Astyanax mexicanus: one gene and its partners. The protein of the gene in region 3 interacts with the protein of the main gene of each other region in a pairwise test. Links are inferred from orthologs where the notes say so. Each region holds a gene or a part of one and is shown on either strand. Other genes may lie near its edges.

What was found. The genes of interacting proteins can lie anywhere in the genome.
Region 1: the proteins of sec23b (region 3) and hoxa3a interact in binary tests that used the Homo sapiens proteins (3 or more experiments, as listed by UniProt). The two-hybrid records come from large-scale screens. The link is inferred for Astyanax mexicanus from reciprocal best matches to the Homo sapiens genes SEC23B and HOXA3.
Region 2: the proteins of sec23b (region 3) and prrc1 interact in binary tests that used the Homo sapiens proteins (3 or more experiments, as listed by UniProt). The two-hybrid records come from large-scale screens. The link is inferred for Astyanax mexicanus from reciprocal best matches to the Homo sapiens genes SEC23B and PRRC1.

The regions. Positions count from the first base shown.
Region 1 is NC_064410.1:62,557,731-62,564,784, forward strand, and holds the start of hoxa3a (homeobox protein Hox-A3a), read right to left. Parts: upstream 3,065-7,054; 5' UTR 2,979-3,064; intron 2,968-2,978; exon of another isoform or gene 89-2,967; coding exon of another isoform or gene 1-88. Other genes in the region: hoxa5a (homeobox protein Hox-A5a), read right to left, coding at 1-88. UniProt on the Homo sapiens protein: Sequence-specific transcription factor which is part of a developmental regulatory system that provides cells with specific positional identities on the anterior-posterior axis.
Region 2 is NC_064427.1:29,012,083-29,019,081, reverse strand, and holds the start of prrc1 (protein PRRC1), read right to left. Parts: upstream 3,065-6,999; 5' UTR 2,955-3,064; intron 510-2,954; 5' UTR 498-509; coding exon 401-497; intron 1-400. UniProt on the Homo sapiens protein: May act as a regulator of the protein kinase A (PKA) activity during embryonic development.
Region 3 is NC_064412.1:55,309,113-55,316,988, forward strand, and holds the start of sec23b (protein transport protein Sec23B), read right to left. Parts: upstream 3,097-7,876; 5' UTR 2,931-3,096; intron 970-2,930; exon of another isoform or gene 834-969; intron 673-833; 5' UTR 668-672; coding exon 447-667; intron 1-446. Other genes in the region: small integral membrane protein 26-like, read left to right, coding at 4,705-4,816, 5,469-5,647; dtd1 (D-aminoacyl-tRNA deacylase 1), read left to right, coding at 7,298-7,376. UniProt on the Homo sapiens protein: Component of the coat protein complex II (COPII) which promotes the formation of transport vesicles from the endoplasmic reticulum (ER).

The sequences.
Region 1 (7,054 bases), on a different chromosome or scaffold from region 3:
CTGAACCGTGATCCCCATAGTTATGTAACGGATAGTCCGCGCCATTTGGATAGCGACCGCAGAATGAGTTTACAAAATAAGAGCTCATTGGTTGGTTGACAGCGATTACCTGATAATTGCTCTGCCGGTATTATTGTTATTATTACCACCGTGGAGAGAACAACAATGCCGCGCGTGCTTGATTTGTGTCTCTTGATGCTTTTGCGCGTCTATTGCACCCTTGCACAATTTATGATGAATTATGGAAATGACTGAGACACAGACTTCATGCTCTCTTACGTAGGCGCCCAAATATGGGGTATGGGTTGAAGTCACGTGTTTTTTGTTGACCAGTCGTAAATCCTGTGTGATGACCTCCAGCGGTAAACTCACGCGCGAGCAGGAAATCTGGGTGGAATTGTTTGAAGGCTCTAGCGGTGCTGTTTAGAACTGTAGTGTTGCGCCACCCTTTGGTATAACCGAAGAATTCCCCCCTCACTGCCCTACTCGAGGCTACAGGCTGGGACAGGGTCATGCAGAGGTTAACGACTTTGCAGTGGAAAAATTATCACTGCTGAAACAAAACACAATACCGTGACCTCGCTGGAAAACGCTCCGAAACATTTCGTTGGGTACAATGCAATCAAACAGAATAAACAAAAAGCAAGCGATCCAGTGAAATAGCAATATCAGATATTAAAAGAAAATGAAAGCGTATTTTAAAAGCAGCCTCTCTGAAGCAAAGAAAAAATCCACAAACAATAAAAAATAATAAAAACTGTTCATTATTTTGAACTCATTGTTAAAAGCCATACCTTCCAAAAAACACATATCTACACAGTGCTCAAATCCTCCTTTAAATTTGAGAGAAATAAAATCTGGAGTAAAGTGCAGAGATGCAGATGCAACAAAATGAAGTCTCCCGAAAGATCAATATTTCCCTAAATCTTTTAAATATTCTTCACACATCAGTTTTACAACATGCTACTTTTTTAATTGCATTACTAAACTAACCCCATGTTTAAAAATGCAAGTTAAAAAATAAAGAAATCAGCTCAAATCTTTAAATTAAACCTTATGATGCGATAAGAAAGCAGTAGATCACGTATAGCAAGTCGATCAGTTAAATAAACCTCTTGTTAAAGAGTGCATGTAAATGAGGTGTGTGTGTGTGTGTGTGTGTGTGAGAAAATTCTTTTTTTAGCCTTTAGCATTTATTTTTTTTACTTGAAACTCAAATGCTAAAATTGCAAATATTTTTAAGCTCTACAAAATCTACCTACTACCACACAAAAGACACAGATTCAACACCGCAACGGAGAAATTGGAATTGGAGTAATACTCATTGTTAAGCTCATCTCTATCGTAGCCAGAAACGTCTAACCAATAACTAAACGACAGCAGATATAACACGAGGAATACAGTCAGACTGAGACATCACACATGGGCGATAAAAGCGTTGATGCTTATAACTGGCCTGTGACGTTGTCGTAAAATAAAACCATGCATAAAACCTCGCTTGTGCGCAGTAAAAAGCTGCGAGTGCACTACGACAGAGATTTTGCTGCGTATCGAATAAAAGCAGTGATACATCCTCAGTGAAGGAATCGAAAAGAATTTTGTAAGTTAGAAACCTCGCTAAATAAAAATGAATTATGATTTTTGCATACGCATTGGTAAGCTGTCACCAGACAGTTTTTTGACCTAAAAATTAAACGACAAAGGATACGGAATTAAAACTATTTGATACAACATTAGGAATTATTTAAACTGAATTTGACCATGAGAGCAGGGCATATGGATCAGCAGCACAATTAAATATTTTAAAATGTTTTTTATTTTTCAGATTTGAGTATTAAAACCCTCGATACAGCTACTCGTTGCAAGGTATGTTTGGTTGCAAGATGTATGGTTATCAGAATTGTAATGATTTAAATATAAAGGGCTTTTCAGATGAATAACGTCAACGTCAACATAACATCACATGACGGGGAAAAGTAGTACAGTACTGAAAAATGCATTCTATCCATTTTGCTTCAAATAGTGCAAACGTTTTAATACTATTTGCTTAATACCGAGTAAATTCGCTAGTGTGAGATCAACACTGTTAGTGTTATATGTTAATTTAAAACTAACAGTGTTGATTTAACACTAGCGAATGTATTGTGTACAAATTACTTTACAATTGTAAGAGATTGGTCAAGCCAATATATTAAAACGTTTAGTATAGTGACACAGTGATTTTAAAAATATGTAACTGAGGTTAACGGTCTAATTCAAAACAGATCTATATGTCACATACTCTTAAGAGGAAACAGGCTGGTCTAAATAGCAAGCAAGCGTCTGAAAATAGAACCAGAACAGATTTTCCCCACACTCCTTCCAGACCTTCATCGCCATGTAGGCAAGATCAAAACATTTGTACAGAAGTTGCACTCCAAAGGGCATGCTTTTGAACGCCATGCACTTTACAGGTTTACAATCATTAATTTTAACCTCTGCAAACATAGAACCTATGCAATTCTTATCTGTGCTTTATGTCACAGCGCCCCCAGATGGTTGGTTTAGAATCTGCCTCTGCGACAGACCGAGACAACACCACATGTTAGGGCTATATTTTGGCAAAGGCCTAAACGTCTATAATGAGATTGCCAGTGCGCCTTTGCTGTCAGCAGTACGTGAACACTAATCATCAAACCCTCCACTCCAGTTCACACTGGTATCAGGACCCCAGCCAAGTTTGTGTTTTTTCCAGGCATTTTTTCGTCGGTCTAAGCTGAAAGAAATGTCTTGTAATCACAACTGATGTCCAGACTATTATTCGCAGATTAATCGCAAATTATCTTACTAGGCGTAAACATCTGATTTCCCCCCAAAAAATAGAAAGCAACCGGTCGTTTTTGAGCACTGACAACAATACAAATGTCATATTTTGAGAACAATAATGATAATAAAATAACTTTTAACATATGTTTTAGCATAAGGTTCTAGACTCCTACCAGTCATAGCAGTAGAACGTGGATCCCAGAACGTGGGAAACATCTGACAGCTGTCCAGCTCAAAGTGCAGTCCATACATCCAGTAAGAAAGCATCCTAGCGGTGCCCACACGTCCTTTAGCTTAGAGATCCTCACCCACGGCGTTGAAATAAAGCTGTAAGAAACAAAACTACACAAACAAACAAATATATCAACAGCGAACGCTGCCGGAGAAAACAAGCGCGAGCGTAGGAGCGAGCCGCGCGACAAGAATGCAGCCCTATTCTGGGGAAGGGAAGCATGCACATAAAAAGTTCATGTGCATGGGACCTTGAGGTCATGTGACCACCGCTTGCCAATAGGAACTCGTGTAGGCTCGTAAAGTTGTGAAGCGGAGTAGTAAATTTTCATAAACAACAACAGATTTATAGTCGCGTCCTGGCTAAAGGAGGAGAAGGAGGAGCTAGAAAGGAGGGATTTTTGCAAGGCGCCATTTTACATAGAGGAGGAGCACAGAGAAAGCTGTGCTGTGTTGCATACCGAATCAAAAACCATTATGCAAATCCTTACAGCCCTGATTAACGTAAAGCGCGGAACCAGTGAGCCTTTACCAGTCAGAGGTGCTTCACCAATCAACGCTTTACCTTCGCTACAGATATATGACAACGCATGAACATGGGTACATATGCATAATATATAAGCGTATATAGTAAACTTAGAGGTATAGTGTACATGATGCACCATATTTTCTCACCATATATTTTTTCATATTTTCTGTTGAACATAGTGTATGTGTTTCTATATGTTGATGAAACAGATGTTCTCTTTTTGAAATGGCTAGGTTTAAACAAGCTCGCATGTATTTAATATGTGACAGTGACACGTTATTCAGCAAGTACATAAGCGTCTGTGTTCACGTCTAGACTGCTTATTATGTTACTGTATCATATATGTGTGCGCTCACCAAGACTCTTCTTTTTACTATAGACAGTAAGAAAGTTATTCTCTTGAAATGGCATGGTCCAAAAAATGTTCTTCATACAATCTGTATAAATTAAAATCAATCAAAATAAAAATAGTGACAATTTGACAATACTTCTACTAGTATCTCGGTATTATTGCTTTTTGAACATATATGGTTGTGCTGGACTAAATTATACAGTATAAGACATTCTCTGTCTTGTATAGATAGACTTTTTGTAATGTCATGTTTTAGATAAAAATGGAAAAGCTGCATGATATATTAGAATTAGAGATTTAAAAAAAGTTAAAGTAAAAAAATCAAAGTCTGGGTATATTTAGGTCATGGTTACTTGTACAGTGCACAAGACAGTAAGCAGCACCAACAAAGATAATTCATTAATAATTTATTTCTCACTTTATTCACGTTATTTCTGCATTGGATCTGTACACAAATGTATTGCTTCCATCATGTAATGAGAATCAGGTCATGGTTCTCATAAACTGATTCACTTTAATATTACTGTTAAATTAATTAATTTGCTTAATCATTTACCTTATCCTACTGGTTTTGTAGGATTGCACATCATTACTACTGGATAATATTTGACTGATGTTAACTAAGTTCCAAAGATATGGTACTGTCACCAATACTGTACATTAAAATTGTTCTAACTATTAACAACTTAAAAAGGGTTCTTAAAACAATTTAAAAAATTATTTGGCTAAATGTTTATAAAATAATTAACCATATATCTGGTCAAATTTAATTTAAAGATTTTTGTTTAAGTTTAGGCCTAAACTTAACTTAACTAAACAGGCCTATTTTTTTTACACAGAATAATGGTAACTCAACACTTCATCAGATCAATTTAGCAACCATAGTGTTAATATAACACTGGCACGTTTGCTTTGTAAGTAAAAAAAAATATCATAGACATAATATGTAAAATACGAATTAGTTATTTTAAAGAATACAAGCAAAGTACATTGCGTAAATACATTAATTTAATCAATTTATGTAGGACACAAGGTAAATCATATGTAATTTTTCTAGGAAGTTCGTTATGCTGGTGTAGGCCCTGCACTGCATATTATTTGATATCAACATGCTTTCTTTGTAGAGTCTTCGAGCGTGTTATAAAATGTATTAATTTATTAAATACTACTTTCTGATTGGCCAACGTTGAATGACAAGGCAGTCATTAACAACCAATAATAAAGACATTAGCCGTTTAGCTTACATACAAACAAGCACATCCAACTATCAGATCAAAGGTAAAAAAAAAATGAATTCATACCTGATGATCTGCTCCAAGGCTTCATCTTTGAGCAGATGCTGGTCAGGGCTGTTGTTCCACATATTCCACATCATAGGAAGTCTCTGAGAAATCCCAGTTTTTTTGTGATGAGCGCCATGTATTGATAATTAACGATGTAGATAGTAATTCTTTATTTCTACACTGTAGCTGAAGCTGAACGCAATGTTCATCTGCTTGTACTGCATAAGGGAACTGCGCATTACTGGGAAAAACACCCACAATGTAAGATGAATTCATTTTTCGCTTCCAGTTGATTTGTTGGACCAGAATCCTCAGTGTCGTTTTTACGAGGTAGGGAGATATATGATGCCATTACAGCCAGAGTTCACACCAACCTGAAACTTACAGACATTGGGCGTTGGATATCACATGGTTAGAACCTATGCAGTTACCAACCAATCAGAAACGGCGTGTGTTTTTATAGGTTTTTAGTGACAAGCTCCATTTCACACGTTTCTTCATTTAGACACTGTAGAAGCGTTTCCTTTAAAAAAAAAAAATACATTAATTCTTATCCATCTATATATCTCTATATATATTTTATGCAGTAAATTTACCAGTTGTCAAAACATCTTTATATTAATACAGGCAAATTGTTTTGTATTTGTAGTCATCTTAAACCCCGGGCCAAATTACATTTGTTGTAAACACGTCACATTAGAAAGCATAATTACAATTGCTTAATTTAACATTTTGTTATAATGTACATGTGTCATAATTTCCAAACTAAATAGAAATCATGTATAAAACGTGCAGATTTTTATAAATACGTTTGTGTCCATGAGTACTTATTTTTATTTCAAATATCTAAACGCGCAATTTGCCCGAGGGTGCACAAGCGTTTGCATAAATCTGAATATTTGATGCGTAATGTTCTGATACAGAACAATGACAATATGTTGGTTAAATGAGACAATTCTCATTCTCTGTATTTGTTTGTAAAATTATTTTTTCGGGAAGCAATAGTTAATATGTTAATAATATTTTCTAAAATCTTAGACAAAACAAAACAAAAAAAATCTATCCACCACGTTTTGACAGATTTCCTTATGATTTGTTTGCTTTCCTTTTTTACATTCATTGTCCACAGTTAATATACCCATTTTCTTACACTCGGCGAACAGAATTTTAGAATAATGGAATTTTGTATTTATGGAAGAGCTAGCAATCACAGCCCGAGGCAAAAAAAAAAAAAACAGACCACAGAATTGTACCACCTGTATTTTACCGTAAACAAAACAATAATAAAGCTGTAACAAACTGTGTAATTTGAAGCCATTTAAAAATCAGCAAATTTCCTTTTTTTTATTGGAAAAACTAGCCCTACCGCATAACTCATTTTGAGGGCTTGACCTTAAAATGAATGCAACTTGAGTTACACCGCAAATGTAACCGTGTTAAAACCGTGCAATATCACATGAAAGCCTGACTGCCGAAACACATGTGTAATGGGAAATGCAACACCCTGGACGGCAGGATGACACGATGTTTTAATCCTGTCGAACACTGCATCCAATATCATAACGAAGGCATAATTGAGATACACCACTTGTAACTGTTTAGTCTGTTTGATGAATCAGCAAGATGGCAACATAATATAATTACACAATATAAATAAGCTATAAATATTTCAGTCATTCATTATATATTATAAAGAAAAACGAGAGTAGCAGAACAGGGCGCCAACAGCATGCTTTACGGTGAGTTACTCTTTATTCCGAAGCAAAATCAAAATTAAATGATCACAAGAGATTGTAGTGCCTGCTTTATCACTATGTTAACGAACAAGCAGCCAATTCTATGGTATCTTTGCAT
Region 2 (6,999 bases), on a different chromosome or scaffold from region 3:
CAGTACTAATTGCAGTACAACAAACAAATCAGCATATTCCACATACTAATCACATAAAGAGACCAGGTGTAAAAAAGTGTCATCATGATTTAGTGCATATGGAAGAAGTCTGACTTGTATATGATCTGAAGATGGTGATTCCACTGCACCCACAGAAGTATTAGATTCTAATGAATCACAACTTTATCCAATATTGCATGCATTCATTTTTTGCCAATGTGAATTTTTCAGAAAATGATGCACCTGCTGAATGTCACTTTCAATAAACGACTATCGAACAGACGTTTCCACTGTGGCAAAATTTTATCTTCCACACAGATGGTGCTCCATTGTAAACATTCACAGTAAACATCCCCCTAAATATCCATCACCTAACAAAAGGCACCAGCTTAGACCTTACCCACTGTGAGAGGAGGAGGACTAACAGCAGCGGCCACACTGGGGGGAGGTGGAGGAGTGGTTGGTGGGGTAGTCTCTATTCCACTCTCTTCCATCATCTTTCCTCAATCCTGGGGATTGTGAAGAAGACAAAAGCAATTCAGTCTGTGCTAATAATACTGTAGAAAGAGGCTTGGCACTGCTCCAAGCAAAGTAACAAGGTGTGTTTGCCTCCTGTCAACAGCAACAGGTTGAACTAAATTTTGCAGTTATAAGCAAACTGAAAGTTTTTATTTTGCAAAGAAAGGTTGGGTAAATTATACCAAACATTCTGTTTAATACCTAACATTGTGCATCACCGGATGGTACATTTTCCCCATTATAGAGAAGCCACAGAAGTTCACCCAACATTCAACTAAACCCACATTAAATGCAACTGAACCTAGTCCTTCAATGTAAATAGTAAATGTGGAATGTGACTCTAAACTTACGCCTACCTTAAAATTGAATCTTCCCTAAACACTAGATTAATGTTATGGCTGCTTCAACAGAGTATCATTTACTTAAGAGTTCAGTTGCATTTAACAGATCAGTGTTTGCTAACCCTGTCTCACACATCTCCCTGCACCCAACACACTTAAACACATTCAAATCAGTTAATTAACAAGTTCTTTTAGAGTGGCAGGGGGTGTACTAAAGTAGGGAACTTATAAATGAATCTAAAAAAAAAAAGTCTTTGTACATGCACATGGGTCCAGTATATTCAGGTAAATAGCCACACAAGCAGAAGCAAAAGGTTAAAAAAAATCCTTGTTAGAGTTCATGTAAAGTCTAGGCATCTACAAGGAATCCAAGCAAGTTGTTAGCTACCTAATATTGTAAGAGCTGGCTAATATAAGAAAATATATGTTACGGATGAGAAGCTGTCCTCTAGCGCAGCACTTTCCATCATTGTAGTAATTCCTCTGCTTTAACACCCCCACTTTAACTCAATAATGGGATGGAAATAAGCTGACATCCTTAAAATGTGCAGGGCCTTCAGGACCAGAGGTAATATATACTGTTCTATGTACTATGGTTGGCATAGAGCATTCCCTCAAAACTAAGGGAGCAACATATTAAGCAAGTGAAACAGACTGCTACATTAAACTAAGGGAACAGTGAAGTTTCATGGAAAAAAAATAATACAGCTATAGATAGGGCTGGGAGGTTAATTGGATTAATTTTATGTTTTGGATATCTAAGATTGTAGAACTTTACATACTGTTGCCAGAGGGGATATCAGTACACAGACATTTGTTTGTGTTAGAAACTTGTAAGGGCAGTGATCTTATTTTATATTTTTCCTTAACGGAAATACAATGCTTGTACTGTGTCTAGTATTAAAACTGCTGTAAGGTTAAAGTTGGCTGCTTACTAAAAACTATAAAAAATAAGAAATTATATACAAAATGTGTAACACTTTAAATAGTGCTGTTTGTTTAAAATAAAACACTAAAGTTATGCAATAAACAAAAATGGAATACTGTAATCGAGAAACGCTCATACATTTGAAGAATATGAAGATTCTCTCTTTTTTCTTTTTTACAATATCGCCCAGCCTTAGCTACAGATACATAAATTGTCCCCTTATTGTCATCCATTACTGAGTTTTTAAGTGAGTGTGTTAAAGCAGGGAAAGCAGCAGGTGGAAACAACTTCTTAAGCAGGTGAAACAGACTGGACTGTTAAACTGAGAGAACACATTATGTTTCAGTAGCTGCATTCTTTTTCTACCCTTACATTTTATGGGCTCTGTGGCTACTTAGCTCAAATAGCACTGAGCTCTGAACTATGAACTCTCATAGTTTGTTTCATCCCTAGCAGGAGGTCTGATTGTTCTATATTAAATAAAACACTTATTTCAGAGATATTTAGCTAATGTTTAATCAGCATGTAAGTCTGCCTTGGGTGCTGTTGCCACGTCTTCAACAGCTGAGATCAGATCAGCTCACTGGAACACAAACAGGGGAAGTCTGTGAGCTTCAGGGTCTGGGGTTTACAGATTGAGCAATCAGCCAAGAACAGGGCATGCAGATATAGATAGTTTTACTGCTGGTTTCTGCGGAATAAATGTCTAAATTATCACAGAAAAGTGTAAGTCACAACATACTTTAATGTAGCTAGTTTAACTGACACTAACTGTTAGCTAACATAGCTATCTGGGTTATGGTAACTAACCTAACCCCAGCTAATGTTAGCTAACATGAACACCACTGAGTGGAGGAGTCTGACTGCACTCAAAGTAACTTACATCACACAGGTGGGAAAGGCTCCTGGGCTGCGTCTGTTAAACAGCTCAGCGCAGAAAAATCAGACAAATGTTAATGTAGCAGTCAAACGGCTCTTAAATGGAGTTAGCCAGCTAGTTAGCCTGTTAGCTGAGAGTTCAGCTCCCCCACTGAGCTCCTGCACTCCGGGTCTTCAGCTTTCTGAGCAGATTAGCTTAACTACATTCCGCCTCATAGACACCCACAGCTAAACTACGCGGCACAGCGAGGTTTAAAAGTTCGCTAAGCGCAGCGATAAACTCTTACCTGGCGCTTTTGTCTCCTTAATCAAACCCACACAACACGAAATCACATCCACCAACTCCAGACCCCAACTCTACCGACCCTCGTCGAAAATGGCCGCGTTGAATAGACGTCACCAATTGCCACGTCTGTAGGGTAAGGTGGGCGGGGCGCCGAAGGAATGCTGCAATATGATTGGCTTGCTGACAAAAAATATATAAATATATTTAAAAAATTATCTTAAAATATAACTAGTATTGCTTTCAATTCCTAAAATAACAATAACAATAATAATCGTTACAATTTGAATTACCTCAGTAATAAGTACAATACAAAGCATTCTCTTTATAGAAAGTACATGACAACAAATGCAGTTTGTAACGTTACCATAAGTGCAAATAGTAGTATTCTCCAATAAATAAACAACAATAATTCTGGCTAATCTTACAGCAGCTGGCACGCAACCGGGCACATCCTAGAAAAGCAGCACCCACGGACTATCCAGCCAACGTTAATGCTGCCAGCACTTTATCCGGCACATTTGATGCCATCCGGCACACCACCTGGCACATCTTACAACAAACACACCATACAGCGCATCACAGTATTGTGGCGGCTCTGGGTTGTGTGTGTGGCTGCCTGCAGGCATGTTTCTGTTCTCCTGTGTACGAGGATGACAGGGGTGGGGCATCTCCCTTGGGAGGGGTTATGCAGAGAGGGTGGGCACCACTCTGGATCTGCCATCTGGGAGACACACAGCTGGGTTGGTGGCCTTTGGGCTATTTGAGCTCTGTGGGGATGGTTTTAGATCTCCTAGTCTTGTTAAAGACTGTAAGTGAGTGGCAAGCCGGTTCAATAAAGGAGCTGTTGAGCATTCAGCATGAGTCTCACGGGTCTTCCTTCCTCTTCCACGCCACAGTATATCCAAAAGCAGCTACCACACACACCAGTGCATCACACAGCACCTGGTACACCAACCAGCACATCTTTCAGCAGGCACACCTTCCGGCTGATCTTACAGGAACCGGCACACCAACCGGTACATCTTACTGCAGAAAGCACACCGAAAATGAACAGCTTATTTGAATTCACCACCAGGGATCTTTGCATTTAAGAGAGGTTTAAGGGAGGTAGAGCAAGACTTTTTACATTAACAGGCGCGCTTGCTGGTGCATTTACATGTTTATCAACATGTTACAGTACAAAGAAATGAAAAGAGCATTTATCAAGTATATTGATAAAATGCGTAAAAGTGCATGCCGTGCGTAAAAGCGCGCGCCTTGCGTAAAAGCCACTGTGCGTAAAAGCGCGTGCCGCGCGTAAAAGCCACTGTGCATAAAAGCGCGCCATGTGTAAAAGCCACTGTGCGTAAAAGCGCCCAATAGGATAAAACCGCGCGCCGTGGGTAAAAAAAAGCAATGCCCTGCATAAAAGCTCGTACCGTGCGTAAAAGTCGCTGTGCGTAAAAGCGCGTGCCGTGCGTAAAGGCGCGTGCCGTGCGTTAAAGCGCGTGCCGCGCGTAAAAGCGCGTGCCGTGCGTAAAAGCACCCAAAACGGGTTGAGCTGTATTTTAGAAGGCTAGATGGCTAAATTACTAAACTTCGATTCAGAGACACCCATAGACACGCCATAAGACTCCCAGGCTGGATAAAACTCAGTATAACGCAACAAAATAAGATAGAAACCTTTACCGAGACTTCAACTAATATTAACAGAGCTAGCCATCAACTAGCTTGCTAATCCACCAGATAACAGTGTCGGGCACGTGAGTGTACTATTACAGATCAATCGACGAGCTCTATATAACAATGTTTTATTTTTGCAAAAAAAATCCTCAACACCGATCACATCTCAAATGATCTTCATTAAATATCTGTATATACTGAAAGGGTTTTTATTCAACAAAAGAGAAAACGAGCTTTATTTTTGGCCCAAATCACCCTAGCAGTACCACTGAGACCCACTAGGGGGCCATGGCCCACCGGCTCAAAACCACTGATCTAGAAAGTGCGAAACTGAATAAAAGCATCACGAGGGTTTCAGGTCTTAGATTTTTTTTGCTGCAGAGTTTTTTTTTGTTTCGGTAAAAAAAAAAAAACACCTGAATGTGAGCATTTCGTAGCTGCTACTAGTGCATCTCAACAACAAAAAATAGAATATCATTAAAAAGTTACGTTTATTTTAGTAATTCAGTTCAAAATGTGAAACTCATATTTTATTATATAGATGTATTACACACTGGGTAATTTATTTTAAGCTTTCATTTCTTCTGTTGTTGATAATTATGGCTTACAGCCAATAAAACTCTAAAAATCTGTCTCAGACAAAAAAGTCTCAGAAAAATAGAATAAGACTAATTGGTACTTTTGGCAGTGTGGGCAGAGTGCCAAGTTCTGCTGGAAAATGAAATCTGCATTTAGATAAAAGTTGTCAGCAGAGGGAAACATGAAGTGGTGTAAGATTTTCCGGGAAAACACTGCACCGAGTTTGGAGTTTAATATAAAACAGTGGACCAACACCAGCAGATGACATGGCTCCAAACCATCACTGACTATCAGCAAATTTAGCATTTCATTTGAAAATCAAGGGACCAGTCTGGGGAAAAGTGAAGAGGCACAATAAAATGGCCGCGTTGGATTGACGTCACCAATTACCGCGCCTGTAGGGTAAGGTGGGCGGGGCGGCAAGAGAACGCTCCAATATGATTGGCTTGCTGACAAAAATATTTAAATATATAATTTTTTTTTTTAAGATGTAGTATTGCTTTTAATTCTTAAAATAACAAATAGTCTAAAATATTTAAAAACCTCAGTAACAGTACAATACATTAGCATTCTCTTAATAGGAAGTACACACAAACAAATGCAGTTTGCACTACATGTGCAAATAGTAGTTTTCTCCAATAAATATAAATTAATTAATTGGGCCAATCTTCAGCAGCTGGCACGCAACCTGGCACATCCTAAAACAGCAGCACCCACACTGGCGCTTCATAAGTAAGTCAAAATACCATCCAGCACACCCTAAAGCTGCTGAGCATATTAAAGCAGCCGCAACATCACCTGGCACATCTTATACAATCCAGCACACAACCCAGCACATCTTGCAGCAGCCAGCAACCCAACTGGCACACTATCCAGCCAACGTTTGATGCCATTCAGCACACCACCCGGCACATCTTATAACAAATACACCATAAAGCGCATCACAGTATATCCAAAAGCAGCTACCCCACACACCAGTGCATCTCACATCATCTGGTACACCAACCAGCACATCTTTCAGCAGGCACACCTTCCGGCTCATCTTACAGAAACCAGCACACCACCATTAAACTGAGGGCTCTATGCATTTAGGGGGCTTAAGAGACGTAGAGCAAGACTCTTCAAAATAACAGGCGTGCTTGCTGGTGCATTCATATGTTTATAAACATGTTACAGTACAAAAAGATGAAAAGAGCGTTTATCATGAAATATATTTTATGTTGTCTGTGTTTTGCGCGCTGTACAGACAAGTGCACAAAATGCGTAAAAGCGCGTGGCGTGCGTAAAAGCACGTGCCGCGTGTAAAAGCACACACAATGCATAAAACTCGTGTTGTGCGTAAAACGCGTAGTGTGCGTAAAATCCGCTGTGCGTAAATGGCATGCTGTGCGTAAAATCGCGTGCCGTGCGTAAAAGCCTCTGTGCGTAAAAACGCGTGCCGTGCGTAAAAGTACGTGTCGTGCGTAAAAGCTCGCGCCATGCGTATAAGGCGCTGTGCGTAAAAGCTCACGCCGTGCGTAAAAGCCGCTGTGCGTAAAAGCGCGTGCCGTGCGTAAAAGCGCATCCCGTGCGTAAAAGCTCGCGCCGTGCGTAAAAGCAGCTGTGCTTAAAAGCGCGTGCCGTGCGTAAAAGCCACTGTGCATAAAAGTGCCCAAAATGGGTAAAACCGTGCGGCATGCGTAAAAAGCGATGCTCTGCATAAAAGTGCGTGCCGCGCGTGAAAGCCCTAGAGACCGTTGACCATCTCAACGCCTGTAGAGAAATACAAACACGTGGCTATTTCTCTGGTGTCGATTTAGCTCCTG
Region 3 (7,876 bases):
CATCTGGGTGCACTAGGAAAAAAAAAACATTTTTCCATTTGTAGTTCTTATCTCACTGTTGTTTCCGGTGCCACTGAAATAGTTTTTTATTCCTTTCTAGGCTCTCTCTACCTTTTTCATACAGGGCCAGGTAGTGTTAGTTTTTTTTTTTTTTTCATAAAATTGAATACTGATTTAAAAAATAATTTAAAAATAAAGAAAAATAAAAAATAAAAACACAAAAAGCTTTTGCTTATGGAATAACACAGTACATTAGAATGACCTGCAGCTATTTCTTAAACATAAAGTCAACAACAGAACCTTTATTGACCCCCTTCCCAGAGTCATACAACGGAAATAATTTTATTCCAGGAGTAATGTACAATAATACAAAAGCATAAAATCTACACCGTATATCTAAATCCAACACAAATTGCTGTATATACATATACATGATATCCACTTACCAGAGTGGGTTGAGCACGGCTTTGCAGGTGGCTCGACTGCAGAGCACGGGTTCGTACTGTACCGGAGGCAGGTTGGGCCGCTCTTTAAGGGGGGTGAAAAGGCAGGATACTGGTACCACCATTCGCGTGGCCTCCAACCTGCTGGAGGGCCAGAGGTTCCAGCTGCATCGCACCCCATCACGATCCTCATTCTGTTGAATAAACTCCTGAAACGTTGCCATTTTATCTGTAGGGAAACAGTGCAAGCAGCCAGAGAAAGAGAAAACTGAGACACCAATGACTCACAGAGCCTTTTATACCCTGAGTCTGAGATACACCTGGCTAATGCATCCTAACTGGATCTACAACATACCATGAAGTCTAAAATTGCACAGGAGAAAGACACACCTGCTCATTCAATACATTTCTTCCTATAGTCGCTTTAGTGAAAAGACGCCATGAGCCAAATGCTTCACAGAAACGTTTCAAGCTATTTATTTCTAAGATACGTCACTCCTTCTACACACTGGGGCACACCTACAGTAAACTCCGCAGGCTGCTGACAGGCTGGCTGTACTGAAATCACTGAATCACAGAAGACAGCTGGATGGAGCTGAACTTTAACCTCTGAACCAAATGACACGCTGCACTCTGCAGAGTCAATACGACCAGACGATCAGTTCATATCTCCTGCTCTCCTGATGATTGGTTGTTAATTATTATGAGAACACAAAGATTTCAGTTTGTTAGGGTTTATCCTGTATTGGCTGTTTTTTGTTTCAGTATTTACTTGCTGCTACCAGAATAGGTTTAAATACTCTTTATAAATACCAGTATTACCATTTCATTTTGTTGTAGGAAAAACCTACAAGTTTAAAGTGTAAAGAATTAATATATATTATGTTTAATTATCTGTGAGGCATGAATCATTTTCAGATTGGCTTAATAAATAAAACAAATATGAAAATGAAAATGTACTTATTTTAAAGTGTTGCAACATGTTTACTTTTTAAAACATTGTTGGCTAGTGAATCAAAGCATGTAAAATTTAATATTTTTATGACACTAATTATTGATTGGAGATATATTAATTGAGCTTAAGTAAGGGTTAATTTTGGTGCACCAGATCAATCTGACCCAGGAACATTATTGCTGCATTATTCCCTAACAGCTGAAAGTAACAGGAGTGTTAATAGGATGTCTAACACACCATCAGCAAACGTTTGCTTACAACGTTTACATACATAATCCCAAACTGCTTGTAACCAGTGGTGGACAGAAACGTAGTAAATTTAATGAATTGCTGCACTCAACGAGATTTTTGTCTTACATATTTTTAGTATTAGTTCAACTACATCCCAAACTCAAGTATCACACTTACTACTCTTTTTTTTGGATTATGTATGCATAATAACATAATATCACAACAAAAAAAGCTTGATGCAAGCATATCGATCACAGTACAGTGTACACTTGATTTTAATACATTTTGACATTATACCCAGTGCAAATGTGCTTTTTATAAATCTTTTTAAAATATTCTGGAACTATTTTGAAAACTGATATTTTCAAAGGAATTAAAACAGATTAACAAAAGGTTAAGTTAGGTAAGCTTAGCTTTGTGAGCAAACTTGTAATTATCTTCCCTGACAGCAAAAACATTTAATAACATGTTTTGAGTTTTTTTGGTTACATTACATATTTGAATGCTGATGATGGAAAACGTTTAAACAACCTTACTGTAATTTATATTGCTAATAGGCATTGGCTAAAGTTATAATTCTGATTGTAATATGTAGCCTTTAAAGGTTTGGGGCTCAATGCAAGCTATAAGAACAGAATCAACATATAGAATATATATATATTTCATACAAATATATTTTAACACATACAACAGTTACTAAATATATAACGTTGAATCAATGTTAAATCAATATTTACTAGTAAATCAATTTTAACGTCGAGCAACATTGTTTCAGTGCACTAGAGATGGTAAATTAACGATAAAAAATTAACATACGTTTTTTATCTGTGTAACGTATTCAGGATAATGTATAACGGTCATTACATCGATGTTTCGCAACGTTAAAACTTAATGTATATCTAGATTGCTACGTTAGCTTAGCTAAGCAGCTAACGGGAGCTGGTTAGCTAACTAGCAAGCTAACCTGATATAGCCTGTTGGCTAGCTGAATGTGAAACTGAAGCTAACGCCATTCATTTAACGCTACGATTAAAAACAGTACAGTCAGCTAGGTATATCAATGTATATTATAATAAAATGTTAGCTGTATAAACAAATAATAATGTTAGCTGTAAAAACAAACTTTATACTTTACATACAATATTATTAAACAGCGTTGGGCTCCTCTGCACTTGTTACTATGAGCTAGTTAGGTTAGCTAGCAGGCTAGCCGACAGATAATCCGCCGCACTGCCCCGGTCCCCGAGCTGTGAGCCCCGGCGGCCTCAGCGGCTCCGGTAAAGAGAAGCACCCGGTCTTACCTTTCAGTTAAATCCGCTACACAGTCTCACAGCCTCGATAAATAATCTATAAACAGCTCATCTATACTGAATCCCGAGCTTTAGGACAGATAATCATAAATCAAATGGTAACTTCTCGCCGGCAGCACCAGTTCCTGAAGCTCCAGCAGTAGAATGACGTGTTACTACATATTCTGCACTTCGCCATTGGTCCTTTCAGACTGACGCCAATCAAAACGCCCCGCCCACGCTAATGACGCCTCTGCGCTTTTAACCTACATCAGAGAGAGGAAGTGCTGACAGGGCTTTGTATATACCAGGTTTCCATATAAATCAATATAAACACATAACATACACATTAAACAAAATATTAGGAATCAAAAGGAAAACATTTCAAACCTATATTTTAAAATATACTTAGTTATTTTATTATCCTTTGTACTTATTTGAAAATAATTTGTTATATCTAAAAATATATATATATATATATATATATATACAGGGACTTACAGTTCATTCATTACATGAGGTGCCATCAAATATTTGAACATATAGTGATTCCTTCCCTTTGACGTTACAACAACTATATTTTTTCATGCCATGGATTTCACAAGACTTCACAAGTTCAAAAACTTCTTCAGACAATCTGGTTGAAGTAAACGTTATGCTTATTTCTTTTTTACCACTTCTGTTTTTGCTTCCTGACTAGAGAGGTCATTAAAGAACACTGAACTTACTGTTGTGTTCATGAAACCAGTTTAAGGCAACTTTTACCATGTCACATGCATGATCATGCTGGAAGTTGCCATAACACAGTGGCAGACTGAGGCTGCTTAAAGGAGAGGGACAAAAAAACTTAAATCGCCAACTACTGCTTATCATGGATCCTTACCAGCTCTTAAAAAGCTATAATTCAAGGATGCATCATGTATTATGAAAAAGTCTTTACCTTTGAAATGTAATTAAATTAACATTTTTACGTTTAAAGACAACAATAAGGGGTCAGAAATACAGTACAGACTGTGTTAATCCCCTGACATCTCTACATTCTACAGTCGGAGTGACTTAAGTTTAATTTAATATTGGTGGAAATTTTGCAGGGTTAACAGTGGAAATTAGGTTTTAATTTTTAAAATCATTGTCAATTAAATAAACTTTGTCCTGAATCATCCAATACAGTTTATTTATTACATACATGTGATAAAGTTTCAATAAATAAATTAATAAATAAATAAATAAATACATGTCAACTTATTGTACATTGTGTACATTGTTGTTTGACTGTGTTTAACTTTACTACTTCCATTTTACAGACAATAAAATAACTCTTTTAATAAAATAACTTTTTTTTCCTTTATATTTAATTGTAGATTTATTTGTTTTATTTTATTTTATCATTTTTTGTAACTTCTGTGTACTAGATACTGAAGTCTAGAATTCCCTCTGGGATCAATAAAGTATTTAGTTATCGAGCTTAAGAGTACAATAATTCTTTTTCTATTATTGTTTTTTTTATTGTTTTTTTTTTTTTCAATATAAAATTTAAATTATTAGAATATTTTTCACCAATGCATCATACATCATACATCCTTACAGCAGTGCACTTTATTAAAATAAAAAATATATAGTAGGCCCTGGATTCAGACTTTTATTTTGACAGTGGGTCTTTTATCGTACCACATACGCCTGCTGGAGTTGCATACTTCAAATGACATTAGCTTTAGCCTTGCTAAGGTTGTTTTATTGTTAAATAAACTGTAAAAAAGGAATAAACTGTAATAAAGGAATAAACAGTATGGACGCGTTGAAGTGGAATAAGCGCGCCGCGATGGTGTACGCGGTCGGAGTCTGGACTATGCTCGGGTCTTACGGGTACTACAGATACACGCACAGAAACGACCCGCCGGGTAAGCGGACAGCATGAGGTCAAACCCACAGTTTCAGCTCTTTAATACAAATACAAACACTCAGTACAAAATCAGCTACGATCTTTATTATTAATTATATCAGTTTAACAGATCTACAAATCCATTCTGACTACTCACTTCTCACTATCTTTAATATCATTTTGTCTCGTCACTTGGTTTATATGGTATCCAAACTGTTATATTCAGTACAAATCGTAATTTATAATATAGTTCATGTAATTCTGACAAATAGAAATGTGCATTTTGCATATGGATATAATTTTAGGTACAGCTCTGGAAAAAAATTGGAGACCACTTAAAAATATATGATTTTCTTCGAGTTTACCAAATTGAAAACCAAAGTAGAACTGCTTCAATTGTTGCACCAGGAGTAAAGGCTTAAAGTTACCCAAAAGCAGTGTGTAAGACTGGTGGAGGAGAACATGATGCCAAGATGCATGAAAACTGTGATTAAAAACCAGGACTATTCCACCAAATATTGATTTCCAAACCCTTAAAACTTTATGAATAAAGTAGCAAGATGGCCTAACAAAGGGATGATGTTAGTTAATCTACTCGTTCAGATGTGTTAAATCGTAGATCCATATGCATTTAATCCCACAAACTCTAATTCTAAACTTTTTTTTTGTAGTTCAAATGCCTGAAATGGAGGAAGACACACGGCCAAACGTGAAAAAGATTGAAACACCACATTCTACGACCATAATGGTCTACAAAGAAAACAATTTTGTGCCGTATTCTACAAGATTTTTGAACCTTTTCCGGAAGGCAGATGACAGCTCTTCAGGACCTCAAACTGATGATAAATAAGGACTTAAAACTGGTTTAAGGACTGAAAGAAGAATGAGTGAACTGGACTGTTTCTTCAAAGTTTCAGTTTAAAGTAAAAAATCTAATGTAAAATATATAAAGTATTTGTGCCTACTATAAAAGAAAGTCATCAGCTTCTGTATTTTTTGCTGTGTAAAATCAATGCAATTTGATCTCTGAATGTTGTTTTTTCTTGTCATTGATCAAGTTTGTAATATTTGGAAATTATTTAAAATGAGAGTATTGTTAGTGTTTGGTTTAACTGTGCTATCCATCAGAACTGACAACATTGCTGAAAATAGACTTTGTGACTGTTGAAGCAGGATATATGAAGTGGCTACACCCATCAGGCTGTTGATGAGTTGTGAACAGCCAGTGTCATTTAGAAAATTGCAGTTTTGAAGAAACATCAATTAAAAACACAGAACAAAGAACAGCTCTTTCTGCTTTGTATCACACCAGACAACAATCGTTGACAACTATTGTTAACCACAGAAAATCAAAGACTACTGGATTACTGTTTTAATTAACTTGGTGTTTTTTGGGCTTTGTGTTGGATTGTTCTAAAGCTACACCTAATACAGTTAATCAGTTTAGTCTGGGGTTCAAATTACCTTCAGTGGCTCAAAGCAGATTTTTTGGCTGTGTGGATGTGTTAAATCAGATTTTTGCTCTTATTTGCCTAAGAACACTGATTGTATATTCTTAATATTACCCATACATATGGGATTTTTACTTACAATGGGATTATTTAGAATAATTTAACTATTTTACACAACATTGTGTAATACTTAAGGTCTATACACTCGTGATAAAATTTAAATAACATACTTTTAATGTTTCTGACGGAGTTGACAAAAATCTAATTATGAATTGGAATATCACCAAGCAATGTCAAATTGATGCAGTATTTTTTTTACTTGAAAAAATTAAATACCTTTTGACCCTTATGTCAATAATCAGTGTTATGTATCATCCAATCTGGACTATGCCTCCTATGACAACTCACTGCTAGTGTTTAAATGAGTGGTTATTTGTGTTGGTATGGAGAGAAATTGGTGCAAAATTAAAAAAAAAAAAAGTTTTTTCTTACTAACATGCAAAATACGATGTGATGTGATGCCACTATTACATTACATTTCACTGCACTTAATCTGTTTATTGAAAAACAATACACAAGAATTTACATTTTCAAAACTTAAGTTAAAATGCAATCAGCTCAAATGCGTTGTAATTACAATGCACAGGATTGCCTTTTGTCTAGGGGCAGTACTATATTCGTGCCAATATAAAATGTAATCACTGTCCAATCAGAACCCACTACTGAACGTGGGGCGGGGCTAAGAAACCAGTCAGAATAAAACTCAGTAAGAAGCATCACGTTATTTCAGCGTTTGGTTTTAAAAATGGAAATTCTTGTGTTTTGATAAACATATCAAGTGTTTGCTTCTTAATTTGGCACCAATTCCTCTCTATAAGCTGGCATTTGTAATCAGTACTTTCACTCAATAAAGCAGAAGGCAAGGATTGCAAAGCTTACATTCAGACATAACTGAGAGTCTTTCCTCCTCAGAATCCTGCCTAAGTAGGCAGCATGATGTACGTTTGGGACGCGCCCGCTGTTGTGTGGAGTGATGATGCAGGTAGCTAATGAATGCTGGGAAAGCGGAACTCCTGACAGCAACAATGAAAGCAATCGTTCAGAGGGTCACTAAAGCGAGCGTTACGGGTAAACCTGAATAAAGCCAGCTGTGTTTAACAGCGCGGGGTGTTTAAAACCTGGGCCGGGTTAACTCTGTGGTATGGCCCTTTGTGAAGAGCGTGATGTGCGCTAATGAATGAATGGGGCTGTGGGAGCTAATGCTAACTAGCCCCTGCCTGCTAACTCTAAACAAGGCGTGGGGTTATTTTAGTGGACGGGCTCTGATTTAGACCAGCGGGTTTAGGCAGTAACTGATAAAACACACACACACACATGCATAACTAAATAATTTTACTGTTTTTCTTAAGATCTTGAGCATTTCTGATACAGCACAGTCAACGTGGCTCAGTATGGAAACTAGCCACGAAAGTTTATTGCTGACACAGCTGTGCAAATACACACACACAGCGTGTGTAGTCCCTGTAGAACATTACTGACTAGAGAGGTAATATAATGTAAACATAGCACGTTTAGTAAGGATGTTTGTGTGTGGTGGATTATTTCTTCAATGCTTCTTGCCGATAAAT